Sus scrofa: one gene and its partners. The protein of the gene in region 1 interacts with the protein of each later gene in a biochemical or structural test. Links are inferred from orthologs where the notes say so. Each region holds a gene or a part of one and is shown in the gene's direction. Other genes may lie near its edges.

Region 1 (4,092 bases):
AGCCACAATGGGAACTCCTAAAACTAAGCTAGTCCGACTCAGGAGGTGGTCATGTGGGTCAAATTAAATTATATATATGAAGAACTTATTATATACAATGCAATATCAATATTTAATAAAAATGATGTTACTATTATTACACTCTTGGTCTCCTTTCTTTCCAGCCTTGGCATGCCCCAATTGTTCAAGAGCAAAATTGTAAGGTGGCCCTACTCAATTTTTGTAAAATGCTTTGAAATCCCTTCCTGAAAATGGCTAAGGAAAAAAACCTCCTGTCTATGACAGGTCCTAAACTCAAGGTTTGTGGTTGATTCAGCTCTTTGTCATCTAGCTAGGTGCTGTGCTTTGTTCACTTTTGGGGATATTCTATTGCCATTCTACCTGAATGATTTTAGTTTAGATAGGTCACCTTTCCTTTAAACAGGCCAAGATATCATGGTAGTCTTTATGTGCACGTGGAAAATATTCGTGTAAGGTGTTAGTAATTATTTATCAAGCCAGGACCTGGCTGATGCCTCAGGTTGGCCTGTATAGTTGGCCTGTCTTTGGCGCAGGTCATCATGGCATGGAGTCAGTGAGAAGGCACACTCTGAAAGGTTTTAGCTATCGATAGTCCAAATCCTCTTTTTTTACATGAGAAAACTGAGTCCCAGAGACTTTAAATGTCTTGTTCAATGCAGGAGGTTGAGAGATGATACTGGGGTTGGAATCTGTTCTTCTGTGTCTTCTGCTTTTTTTTTTTTTTGTTTTTTTTTTTTGCTTTTTAGGGCCGCATATGTGGCATATGGAAGTTCCAAGGCTAGGGGTCCAATCTGAGCTACTGGTCTAAGCCACAGCCACAGACAGCAAGGAAGGATCCCAGCCGCGTCTGCAGAGTACACCACAGCTCATGGCAACTCCGGATACTTAACCCACTCATATCCTCATGGACTCTAGTCGGGTTCACAACCCGCTGAGCCACAACGGGAACTCCTTCTAACTCTATTTTCACAAAATACGTTCCAAGGTGCCATAAAACCTCAGAGTCCAAGATCACTTGGAGTATGTTTCTGAAATTAAACCTAAAGAGAATGCTAAGGTCTCAAAGAAGATAGGAAAAGAATCTAGGGTTCTCATGGCATAGGACCCACTTAGCCTAGCTCAGAGTTCTCCGCCCCCACCTGCCTCGGCTCTCCACTTCCTCCGCTACCTTGCAAGCCCCACCCTCTTCAGGTGGCCCCGCCACTTCCTGGTAGCCCAGCTTCCCCACCCCCTACCCCAAGCGGAACCAATGTCCCTGGGCCCCGGGGTCGACCGGATCTTTCTTGCTCCTACTCTTCGCAGCGGTGACTCGGCAGCAGCGTCTCGCGTCATCAGTGACAGCCCCGAATTTTGCTACGCTTTGCGTCGCTCTGCCAGAGCAGTCACCTCCTCCTTGGCAAATAGTCCTCGGTGGGGTCCGAGTTCCTGGATAATAAGAGGGGGGAGGCACGAGAAATTGCAGCCAGGGGACAAGGGATCAACAAGCAGAGGGAGCTAGGGACTGAAGTTTCTGCGATAGTGTGCGAAGTTAGTTAAAAAAAACTCCCTCCCTCCTAAGAATCCTTCCGCCTGCAGTAGCGGTGGTGAGGCTGAGGGAGCCGCCATTTTGGATGTTCGGTTCCTGCTGCCACTGCTGCCGCCGCCCCCGAAGCTGCTGGTTTCATTCGAGGTTTCGGGCCGGTGAGTGTCACTCGTGGCGCTAAGAGCATACTGCTTTTTTTTGCCCAGTGCCTGTCAAGAGCGCTCGGCCGGAGACTTCCTGTCAATTCTAGGGGTCCGGTCCCAGGCCGTGGGGGGTGAGAAGAGAGGACGGAGGCTGAGCCTGTAGGGGCCCGGAGCCCCAGGAGCTCCTCGACTTCTTGAGGGCCGACCCCGAGGCCTCGGACCGGGAGGCTCTGCGCGCGGCCGCCTTCCGTGCTGCGGCGTTGCCCGGCTGGTGTGGGCCTTCTTGAACCCATTGACTTTCTCAGGCTGAGATCCTTCTTTGAGGGCTCATTCAGAAAGCCTAGGGTTAGCGGGGCGGGTCCCACCTCGGGCGGGTCCCACCCCCGCGTGTCTTCTCTGTGCCACGTATCAGCGTTCTTGTATCTTGTACCCTTGTCAGGTCTTTCGTAGAACTCTCATCGGCGTTTCCAAATGCTTCGTTAGTCGCTGTCTGCACCTGCATTGCTGTTCTCTTAGAACCGGACATTGGCCTCGCCTCTCTCTAACCTTCCTACCAACTTCTTTCCCAGTTTTCCGGGTGTTTCTTTTTCATTTTCTTTTTTTCTTAAACTCATCTGCCAATACACTGCTTATCTTCTCTCAAACTCCTGATCCTGTAGGTGTCAACTACTAATAATTCTCTCGGTCTTCTTAACTGTTGGGGAGAGTCAGGACGGTTGGTTGTGTTTCCCTGTTAGGGTTTTGTTGTAGGAGACGGGTCGAACCACTCGCTCAGAGTGTAAATATTTGTAAAGCTAATGAAACGGCTTTGCGGAGAGGAGGTGGTAGGGAGAGGCTGTCAAATGTTTTCGCATTTGTGGGGTTCCCTTCCCATGCTGAACACTTAACTTTTGGGTACTTTTTGATATTTATGTATGGTGTATATCATTGCCTATGAAAATCTACCTGTGAAAAAGAATTTCAATCTGACATAGATAGAAAGGAAAGTAACTTTTTCGGCTGCTCTGGGCATTGCTTAACAGAAGAGAGGAGTGAATGAACATATCTTAGTGACCTTAACTTTCAGTTGGTTTGTACAGTAATGTTCTTTGTTGGCTGATTCTAAAAAAGTACTTGGATTAATTTCGTGTATTGTATTTTTCTGGGGATAGTTGGATTTTAAATATCCGCTTTCATTATTCCCCATAATACTTGTCAGACTGTATACACCTTAACTTTTTTGGTTTAAAAATATAGACTCCCCAGATACCCATAATCTTACTTTTATTTTGCTCTTAACATGTTTATATTATAGCGTGCTTGAATAAAAGGCATTTCACAGTAATTCACTGATTATTTCCTACATTTCAAGTTAGGTGAGTGTTATTGAGTCACTTGTATTTCATCTCAGCCTGGATTTTTACATCTGCAAAAGAATAATAACTGACTTGAAATTGTAGCCTAGTGATTTAAACTTAGATTTATAACTTGAACTGGGTCAGATTTTTTAGTACTTCTAATCCATTTATAAGTGTATTATTCTTATCCTCAGGTTATTATCAGGTAGATAAATTCCGCTGCTAGTCATGTTTTCAGAAGAGTGAATGTTTTCATTGTAAATAGTGTTTTTGTTATTTGTTATAAGGAGACTTTACAAAAATACATTAGTTACTATTTGTGTATTTACTCTGAAGCTGTGGAGTTTCTCTTTTCCTTGAAAGAACTGTCAAACAGAACATAGATGGAATCCTCACTCATTTACTAAGTATCCTCTTGTAGTTGCTACTGACATATTCCATTTTTGAGTTCCACTTTAAAAACAAGGTATTGGAAGAACTATCACATAGGTATTATTTACTCGGTTTATTTCATGGAATTGTGTACTGGTATTTAAATACCATTCATTCTTAGGTGGTTTGTGTTCAGTTGGAGAAAGTGTCCTTTTGCTTTGCAAATGATAAGCAAAACACCATCGATTGATTAGCACAGACTTGAGTATCTACTTTGTCTAAAGAGGTTGAGATTGTACTTGAAATTAACATCATTTAGGAAACCTCAATTTATTTTCTTTTGGAAGCAATTGCTGTTCTCTAATCTGTTTCACTGACAGGAGTTCTAGATTTGGAGGTGTATTTTAGAGTGAAACTATAAAGTACAAAAATTGTCAGCAGTGCCTTTGTGATACTTAATTCCACTATTTATTTTTAAAGTCTTGAAATCAATCATGTACAAACACTCACTTTTTTTGTGATTTGTAAGGACTCTATACAAATTGAAAAAGTTGAACGAATATTTTCCAAAATATTATTTTTTAATTAAAAAAATTGAATTGGAAAACTACATACCAGAACAGATTTCAGCGTGCTTAATCCCCGTATTTGCATTTGCTGAGGATTTAAAAATTTTATGTATATAGCAGGATTTAAT
Region 2 (4,154 bases), on another chromosome or scaffold:
CCTGAGTCTTGCAGATTTAACAGTCAATAGGCAAAAGAGAACAAAGTATTCCAGGCAAAAACAGAAATTGAGTCTATGATCCTTGCTACACTCCCATCGTGTGACTTTATCATTTCTTCTTTTTTCAGTATTTTCACCTGTGTAACCACCCAGTCTTAATTAAAAGTCACTAATAATCGAGTTCCCTGGTGTCTCTGGGTTAAGGATCCAGCATTGTCACTGCTGTAGCTCTTGGTAGGAAATTAGGGCAGGTTTAATACCTGGTGTCCAAACTTTCACATGCTGCAGGTGCAGCCAAAAAAAAGTGGCTAAATCTGTATCAATTTGGTCTGTCATTGGATTAATACTGAATTTAGTTATATATATCAGTCTATATCAATTGGAACATCTGCTACACAATTCCATCTAAAGAAGGGGATGAATGAAATTAGTGGACAATTATAGGGGGAAAAAATTGCTGGATGTAGTTGAAATGAGCAAGGACTTTGAAGTCAAACACCTAGATTTGAATCCTGGTCCTCTTGCTTTGCAGCTGTGTGATCTAGGAAAATTACAACTTTTTACCTTGGGTTTTTTGGTTTTTTTTTTAATCTGTAAAATGCCAATACTGCTTAGAGACACTGAGGGTTTGAAAAAATACAATAAAGTCACTGACCAGTCTTTTGTACCAATAAAGGATAACAATTATTACAAATTGTTTCCCTGCAAAAGCCCTGAGCCAATTATAATCTTGCTAGTCAGCAAACTACTTGAAGGCTCGAAAAACTTTACATTCAACTTTTATATTTACTTAGAGTAGTCTGACTAGAAAAATACATCACAAAGTACGCCCAGATAGGTTCAGAGCAATGAATCTTCCCAAACACTACTGTTTTGTCCCTGATTGTAGGTATGGGAAAAACAGGGACTACCAGGTGGCTGAATACCTTCAGCTTTTAGGGCGGGTACCAGAAGGAAGCTGCCAAATTGAAAGGAAAAAGTAGAGCTCATCATTAATCGGCGCTGTGAAGCTATCAAAGGGACTCATCTACTCTTTGTGTAAAGAGTAACGAACAATAAAAGAACACCCGTGTACCCACTATCCAGTTTAAAAAATAGGATTCAATCTACTCTTTCCGCTAATCAAGATGATAGTTTTTCAAACCGGGAAAAGATGACGCCTTGCCGCCCTGCCTCCAGCTGGACCTTCCACAGAGCCTTGCCAGAAAATGAATCAGCTCCCCTGGATCCAGCCCCAGAACTAGAATTGCACCTGGAGGACCCCCAGCGGGGCGGAGTCACGTGATGAGAGCGCGCGGCTCCTCCCCCAGCGCTGAGAGGTCACGTGGGCGCGTGGCCCCACCCCGTCGCCCAGGCCGCGGCGAGGTGGGGCCCGGCGTTTGCCCCGGAAGTGGCTGTCTGGAGCTGACAGCTGCTGAGAAGGTGGCGGCAGCGGCGGCCGGCCAGGAGCAAGATGGCGCTGCGGCCAGGAACGGGAGCTGGCGGCAGCGGGGCCGCGGGAGCTGGCGCGGGGGCCGCCGGCGGAGGCAGGTGGGTGTGAAGAACAAGGCCTGGACGCGCCCCTCCGGGCTTCACCGCGCTCCCGAAACGCAGGGCTGGCCCTGCACCTGCGACGGGTGGTCGGCGGTTATGGCAGTTTTCGCCCGCGCCGACCCCTTTCCCTTAGAACTGGGATGCAGGTCGTCCTCCGGGGACCTAGGCCGAAGAGGCTGATAGAGCCCGGGCGCCTGCCTCCGGGGCTCCGGGCTCGAGGGCACTGGCCGCTGAGGCCGAGTGGGGAGGGAAGAAGGAGGTGAGGCTGGCACCTGGCGGGCTGGGTAAAGAAGGAACCCAGCGCCTCTCTTCTTGCCCTGGCTGGGTCTGAAGCAACCAGAGATTTCCCTTTCCCAGAGCTTTACCAGGGGCTCTGAAAAAAATCTGTTACAGAGCATACAAGTGTTTCCAAGATGTTACATGTTTGAGTGTTGTGTGTGTATATGTACTATTTGTCTTTTCTTCTTTAAGAGCGTCTTGTCCTTTTTGTTTCCCTAACACACGGGAAAATGTAGGAAAATCTAAAGACCTTTGAATTCGTAAATAGAGCTCTTGTAGAGCTAACTCTTAGCACTTGTCTCCTTATTAAAAAGCCAGTCACTGTTAAACAGCATGTACGCAGTTATCAGAACAAAGCTTCCAGACTTAGCCCTTAAACACATTTGTTCTCTGTCACATTCAGCTGCTAATTGCCCATGGTTCTGTATCCAGAACGTTTGCAACTTGACAGGTTCATCATTTAAGGAAAAACTTGATTCTGGGAAGTTTCCATCCCACTTCTGTAATGACCTACTCTGACTTTGTTTTGCTAACCAACCCGAGGTTCTCATACACGTTTGGAGATAAATTTAGCTTTCTATCTTCATCCTAAATTATTTTTGGAAAACAAAGTGTGAGGGTTTTGATATGCAGTGTTTGAATTTTGGACTTAGGAACATTACGTTGTGAAGTCTTTCAAGTTATCACCTCCTGCCCGGAAAAAAGAGCAGTAGCTGTTCAATAAACCACCTGTGTGCAACTGCATTGTTATTTTCTCTATACATCTTTCATTTTAGATTTAAAGCTGTATTCTTTCTCTTTTGTTTTCTGATTGCCACTCTTTCACTGGGGTTTTTCATGGATACTTGATATAAGTCTATTTTTGGCTGGAGAAGACAAATATGTAATAATTATTTCTGTCCTAAATGTGAAGACAGTTTCTAAAATGTTCTTGAGTGGCATTAATTTTAATCAAGTATATGATAAATAACAGCATCAAGTTCTGGGGAAATGTGAATTTAAAAGAATTTGGTATTCCAGGCAAGGTTTTGGGGGATTTTGTTGTTTGGGATTTGGGTTGGGGTTCTTTAGGGGTTTTGTTTGTTTGTTTTTTTGGTTTTTTTCAGATGAGGAGGACCTTGGGTATAGAAAGTTAAGTGGATCATTCCCCTTAGTTTGTAGTATTTTAATATCATTGGTCCATTTTTGGCCCAGCATCATTGAAACACATTTTTTGTAAATATGGCCTGAATTGTGATACATGTTAGAAGGATTGACTTCAGATTTTCTTTTCTCTTTAAATTCTGGTTGTAGTAATTTTGCATTCTTAAACTGGAGAGCAAGTCATTCTTACCTTGAAAAATGTGTGGTAAATATTATATTGGAAACTTTCTGAGGCTGGAGAAGCTGAATGCTTAATAAAGAATATGAGGAGTTCCCAGGTGTTAGGGAACTAACCTGTTAGCTGGTTAAGGATCCAGCATTGCCCCAGCTGCGGCTCAGATTCGATCACTGGCTCAGGAACTTCCATATGCCACGAGTGTGGCCATAAATTTTTTTTTAAAAAGAAATAATAGAGTTTTAGAGAGCAGTGGTGAGGGCTGATGTTATTTTGTGAGGAAGCTAACATTATGATTGGTACCCTAAGGATATTTTAGGGGGAAAGAAAAAGAACAGGGCAACCTCTCTCAGCTTTTAATGGAGGAAATCCATGAACTATAATTTACCACATTTCTTAGGCACTTGTTTCTGTTCAAAGAAGCGAAGCAAAAAGCCTTAGCATTTTCTAACCTTATTAATATTAGCCAGCTTTGATTGGTATCCTGAATAGGCCACTTTAGAATAAATAGTTATATAGGGCAAAATTTATCCAAGAGATGAGAAGTAGAATTTTTTTTTTTTTTTAATTTATTCATTTTTTGTCTTTTTGCCTTTTCTTGGGCCACTCCCAAATGGAGGTTCCCAGGCTAGGGGTCAAATCGGAGCTGTTGCTGCCAGCCTACGCCAGAGCCACAGCAACGAGGGATCTGAGCCACATCTTCGACCTACACTACAGCTCACGGCAATGCCGGATCCTTAACCCACTGAACAAGGCCAGGGATTGAACCCGAAACCTCATGGTTCCTAGTCGGATTCGTTAACCACCGAGTCACGACAGGAACGCCCATATTTTTTTTTTAAGTCAGGTATGGCAGGAAAAAAGAGTTTAAAGATTTTGATTAGTCTGTATCCTACTGGGATAGTATCTTTTGTGAGCTTGTCTATTTCTTTCCTCTTTTTTTTTATAAATTGCTTAAAGGCCTCCTCATCTTTTGCTCTTCCACTGCTTCTGGCACATTCTACACATAGAAAACATTCTGTTA
Region 3 (4,079 bases), on another chromosome or scaffold:
ACCCCTGGCCTCTCTCAGTGGGTTAAGAATCCAGTGTTGCCACAAGCTGCAGCTTAGGTCGCAGATGAGACTCAGACCCGCTGATAATGTGCCTGTGGCGCAGGCCAGCAGCTGCAGCTACGAGGGGACCCTTAGCCTGGGAACTTTCACATGCCACAGTTTTGGCCGTAAAAAGAAAAAAATGTACAATGAAAAGAACTGTAAAGTTTAATTAGTTGGACCACAGGAACTTCAAAGTTGCCCAACTCAAAAATGAGTCAAGAGGAGTTCCCGTCGTGGCGCAGTGGTTAACGAATCCGAATAGGAACCATGAGGTTGCGGGTTCAGTCCCTGCCCTTGCTCAGTGGGTTAACGATCCGGCGTTGCCGTGAGCTGTGGTGTAGGTTGCAGACGCGGCTCGGATCCTGCGTTGCTGTGGCTCTGGCGTAGGCGGGTGGCTACAGCTCCGATTCAACCCCTAGCCTGGGAACCTCCATATGCCGCGGGAGTGGCCCAAGAAATAGCAACAACAACAACAATAACAACAACAACAAAAGACAAAAAAAAAAAAAAAAAGAGTCAAGAGAAAAATGAAGTGACAACTATTGCAATAAAACACTGAATGTGGTAAGAATATTCACCTGACAAGTTCTTGGGCCTGTCATAAGTATTGTGCTGCTGTTTTTCTACAATTTCCCATGGAATGTGAACTGAGTTTCCGAGCTTTATAATAAAGTAACAAGGATAGCAGGTAGTTGCCTAAATATCAAAGCACTGTGTCAAAGAGTGGAAAAAGTTTTGAAACACAACCTATTCAATTTACAAGGATGGAAAAAGTTTTGAAACACAACCTATTCAATTTACAAGGATGGAAATTAAAGCCCAGAGAAGGAAGTATATTTAGACATTTGGAACCAAATACAGAGTAGCTTCTGCAAATGAGTAATACATAGGCCAATCACACTTCCTTATAATCATTATTAACATAATAATACCTTATGTTTGAAAAGCAAGTTTGAGTGTGGCAAGATTCTACACCCCTGGTTCTGAAACGTGAGCATGGAGGATTTGTTAAAGTACAGAGTGCCGAGCCCCACCCCCAGAGTTTGAGATTCTGTGGCTCAGGGGGCTCGGGAGGGGCACGGAGAACCCCGAGAGCTTAAGAGGAAGCACACTAACCTTACCTCTCCAACTCTCCCTGTTTAACTGTCCCGCTTGGCGCGCAGAGAGAACTACAAGTCCCAGCGTGCCCTGCGCGCAGCCGGCGGAAAGGCAGGCACTTCCGCTCCACGCAGCGCCTCTGCCCCCGCGTCTCGACGTGTCACTGGCGGCGCCGCGGCTGTGGCAAGAGAAGGAGCTGACTGGGGGAGTTTGAGGCGGCGGGCGGCGGCAGCGACCCAGGCCTGGATCAGCCCCGACGCGGAAGTGTTCCGGGGTCCGTGGGGAGCAGGAGAGGGGGTAGCGGCCCGGCCCGCTCGGGGCACGATGTTGAACATGTGGAAAGTGCGGGAGCTGGTGGACAAAGCGTGAGTATCGGGGGGCAGTTGTGGCCCAGGCCCACGCGGGAGAAGGGGGTGGGTGGGAAGGAGCCGGCCCTGCGCGCGGGGCCGCCAGCGTCACGCCCCCCGGCTGGTTGGCCCCATCATGGCGGCGACCGGTTGTCTCCCCGGCCCCGGGCCGCGTCCCAGTCCGCGAGTCTGGGAAGGGACCCTTCCTCTTTGGAAACATCCTCTTAGCCGCATTCTCTCCTGCCCAGGCGTTCCTCACCCTGTCCCTACCCTCACCCTTCCAGCTATAAACGCTTTAGTCAGGGGGGTGAGCAGGGTTGTCTTGAGCTGGGTCGCTGCCCTGGCCGGAGAGCTCTCTTGGCTGCGGGCTTTGGGCTTTGCTTCTTGGGCAGCAGCGAACGCTTGGGGTTAGGGGACCTAGTTCACGGGTTCTCTGCGCCCCTCATTGTGGTGCGGAGACCTTAGGTTTGGTCACGATGTGTCCTTTACCTTGCTGGGTTTCTTTTAATCCTTAATGAACCTGGTGTGTTGGAGTGGGTGGTAGGTGTAACAAGTGGCCGTTGTGGTCAGACTGAAGTTACTCAAGAGGCGACTCATCCTTTGCTTGTCTAATACGAGTGAGAGTAGATCACCACATAACTTACTGTGATTCTTTCTTTCTGATCCTTTTCCCCTACACTTCATTTCCCCTCAAGAAGAAAGCAACCCAGGTTTATATCCTGTTGATCCACTTTTAACTCCCCTGACAGGTAAAATGACTAATACATAGTTGATTTTTTTCTTTAAAACTTAAGTGATAACTTTAGTGTCTTACTACCACTAGGGAAACCTTAACACTTAAAGTGAATATATTACAGTGATGTAACAGGGGTTAAGTAAGATCTTCTAGGCCAGCAGGAAATAAAGTTTAGGAATTTAACCAGTCCCCTTCCTTTTGGGTTTTAGTGATGATGCAATAAGTGTGGTGACAAAAACAGTTCATTTGTGCTGCTCACCCAACCTAAAATCAGAAAGTGTAGATGGCAAATTCTTGAGGCTTTCGTGACACCAGAAGAAAATAATTCATTAAGAGGTATAAACTACTAGGTATAAAATAAATTAGATCCAGGAATGTAATGTACAGCATAGGGAATGTAGTCAGTATTTTATAATAACTTTCAAAGGAGTATAATAGAAAAATGTCAAATGATTGTGTTGTACACCTAAAAGTAATATTTTAAATCAACTATACTTCAACTTTAAAAAAAAATTCACAGTGGTTTGGATAGTGCATCAGATAGGATTTAGAATTTGACTATATTTTCAGATTTTCTATGCTACCAAGAAGGTAGTAGAGTGCCTAAGGAGTACAGGTTTTTGAACCTGCAGAGCTGGATTCAAGCTCTGTAACCTTGACAGATTAATTCATCTTTAAGTGCCCCAGTTTTCTCAGGTACATTATGAAAATAATGATAGACACTTACCTTAGAATGTTAATGAGAATTCAGGGCTAAGGGCTTAGATAGCATATAAAGCCCTTAATACAATATGTTTAGATCTGTATGCTTTTGATAATCATAGTCAGTGTTCTGCATCAAGAGTAAGGCTAAACTTCGTTAAGAGAGAAACTCCACGTTTGAAAAGTGATTTGCTGATTTTCCTTTATAAACTGTTCATTTGATCATTAAGCTCTCAATCCTTTATTTTGGATGTTTTGTTATTTATATACCTTTTGCTTTCCAAAGATAAAATAAAATCATAGTTCTTTTCCAGATGCAAGTTCGTTGGTTATTTTTTAATATACGGTAGAAAGACTGGGATACCAGCTAAAATAATCTTTAAAAGTGCAAAAGTCTCTGCAGAACTACCTCTTTATATCTTAGCCCGAGGACAGAAGCAGAAAAACAATTTAAAAAAACCTTGTTATCTTAGGAGACTAAATTTCTGGTACTTAAAAATTTGAAGAGACTACATTTTCAAGAGACAAATCAAGGCAATATTCTTGCTCTTGTTCATTTCATAGTGTCTGTATCACCTTTGTTACTAATCTTCAAATTAAATTTGTCATGTAAGTAGTCACCAAGTCATCTAAGGGGAGAGCCCGTTGTGAAAAATAACTTGTCTTCCATTTTACTACCCAATTTAGAATGGAGACCTGAACCAAGTTATTCAATAACATGTAAGAATGTTGCCACCAAGGACTTTTTAAAGCTTTCGTGGGTGTCTGACACATGATATTAGGATTAGAACGTGAGGTTATTTTACTGAGACATACTCAAAATTTAATTTTCATCTTTCCCTGGCAAGAGAAAACAAATTCTTCTTCCCAAATGTAAGCCTTTTACAGAACCAGTAACTGTAGCACTATGTCCAGTTAGACAGTTCACCTTAAATTACCGTAATGGAGGTGGAAGCAGATCCATAGAATGGCTCTTCTGATTATCAAAGGAATAAGGTGATGAGGAAGCTAGGAAATGAGGAAACAGAGAAGTGATTAAGGACTGCTCTGAGAGCTTGGTTGAATAGAAATGAGGGTTTGGATGAAGAACACTGGTTAAAAGTTTGGGAGACCTAGGTTCAGATTCTGATACTGCCTTTTAAATTAGCCATATG

What was found.
Region 2: the proteins of AP1G1 (region 1) and SYNRG form a complex in vitro, tested with the Homo sapiens proteins (2 studies listed by BioGRID). The link is inferred for Sus scrofa from reciprocal best matches to the Homo sapiens genes AP1G1 and SYNRG.
Region 3: the proteins of AP1G1 (region 1) and CLINT1 form a complex in vitro, tested with the Homo sapiens proteins (2 studies listed by BioGRID). The link is inferred for Sus scrofa from reciprocal best matches to the Homo sapiens genes AP1G1 and CLINT1.

What each region holds. Positions count from the first base shown.
Region 1 is NC_010448.4:14,807,019-14,811,110, reverse strand, and holds the start of AP1G1 (AP-1 complex subunit gamma-1), read left to right. Parts: upstream 1-1,289; 5' UTR 1,290-1,701; intron 1,702-4,092. UniProt on the Homo sapiens protein: Subunit of clathrin-associated adaptor protein complex 1 that plays a role in protein sorting in the late-Golgi/trans-Golgi network (TGN) and/or endosomes.
Region 2 is NC_010454.4:39,067,037-39,071,190, reverse strand, and holds the start of SYNRG (synergin gamma), read left to right. Parts: upstream 1-1,348; 5' UTR 1,349-1,453; coding exon 1,454-1,530; intron 1,531-4,154. UniProt on the Homo sapiens protein: Plays a role in endocytosis and/or membrane trafficking at the trans-Golgi network (TGN). May act by linking the adapter protein complex AP-1 to other proteins. Component of clathrin-coated vesicles.
Region 3 is NC_010458.4:65,496,213-65,500,291, forward strand, and holds the start of CLINT1 (clathrin interactor 1), read left to right. Parts: upstream 1-1,273; 5' UTR 1,274-1,464; coding exon 1,465-1,505; intron 1,506-4,079. UniProt on the Homo sapiens protein: Binds to membranes enriched in phosphatidylinositol 4,5-bisphosphate (PtdIns(4,5)P2). May have a role in transport via clathrin-coated vesicles from the trans-Golgi network to endosomes. Stimulates clathrin assembly.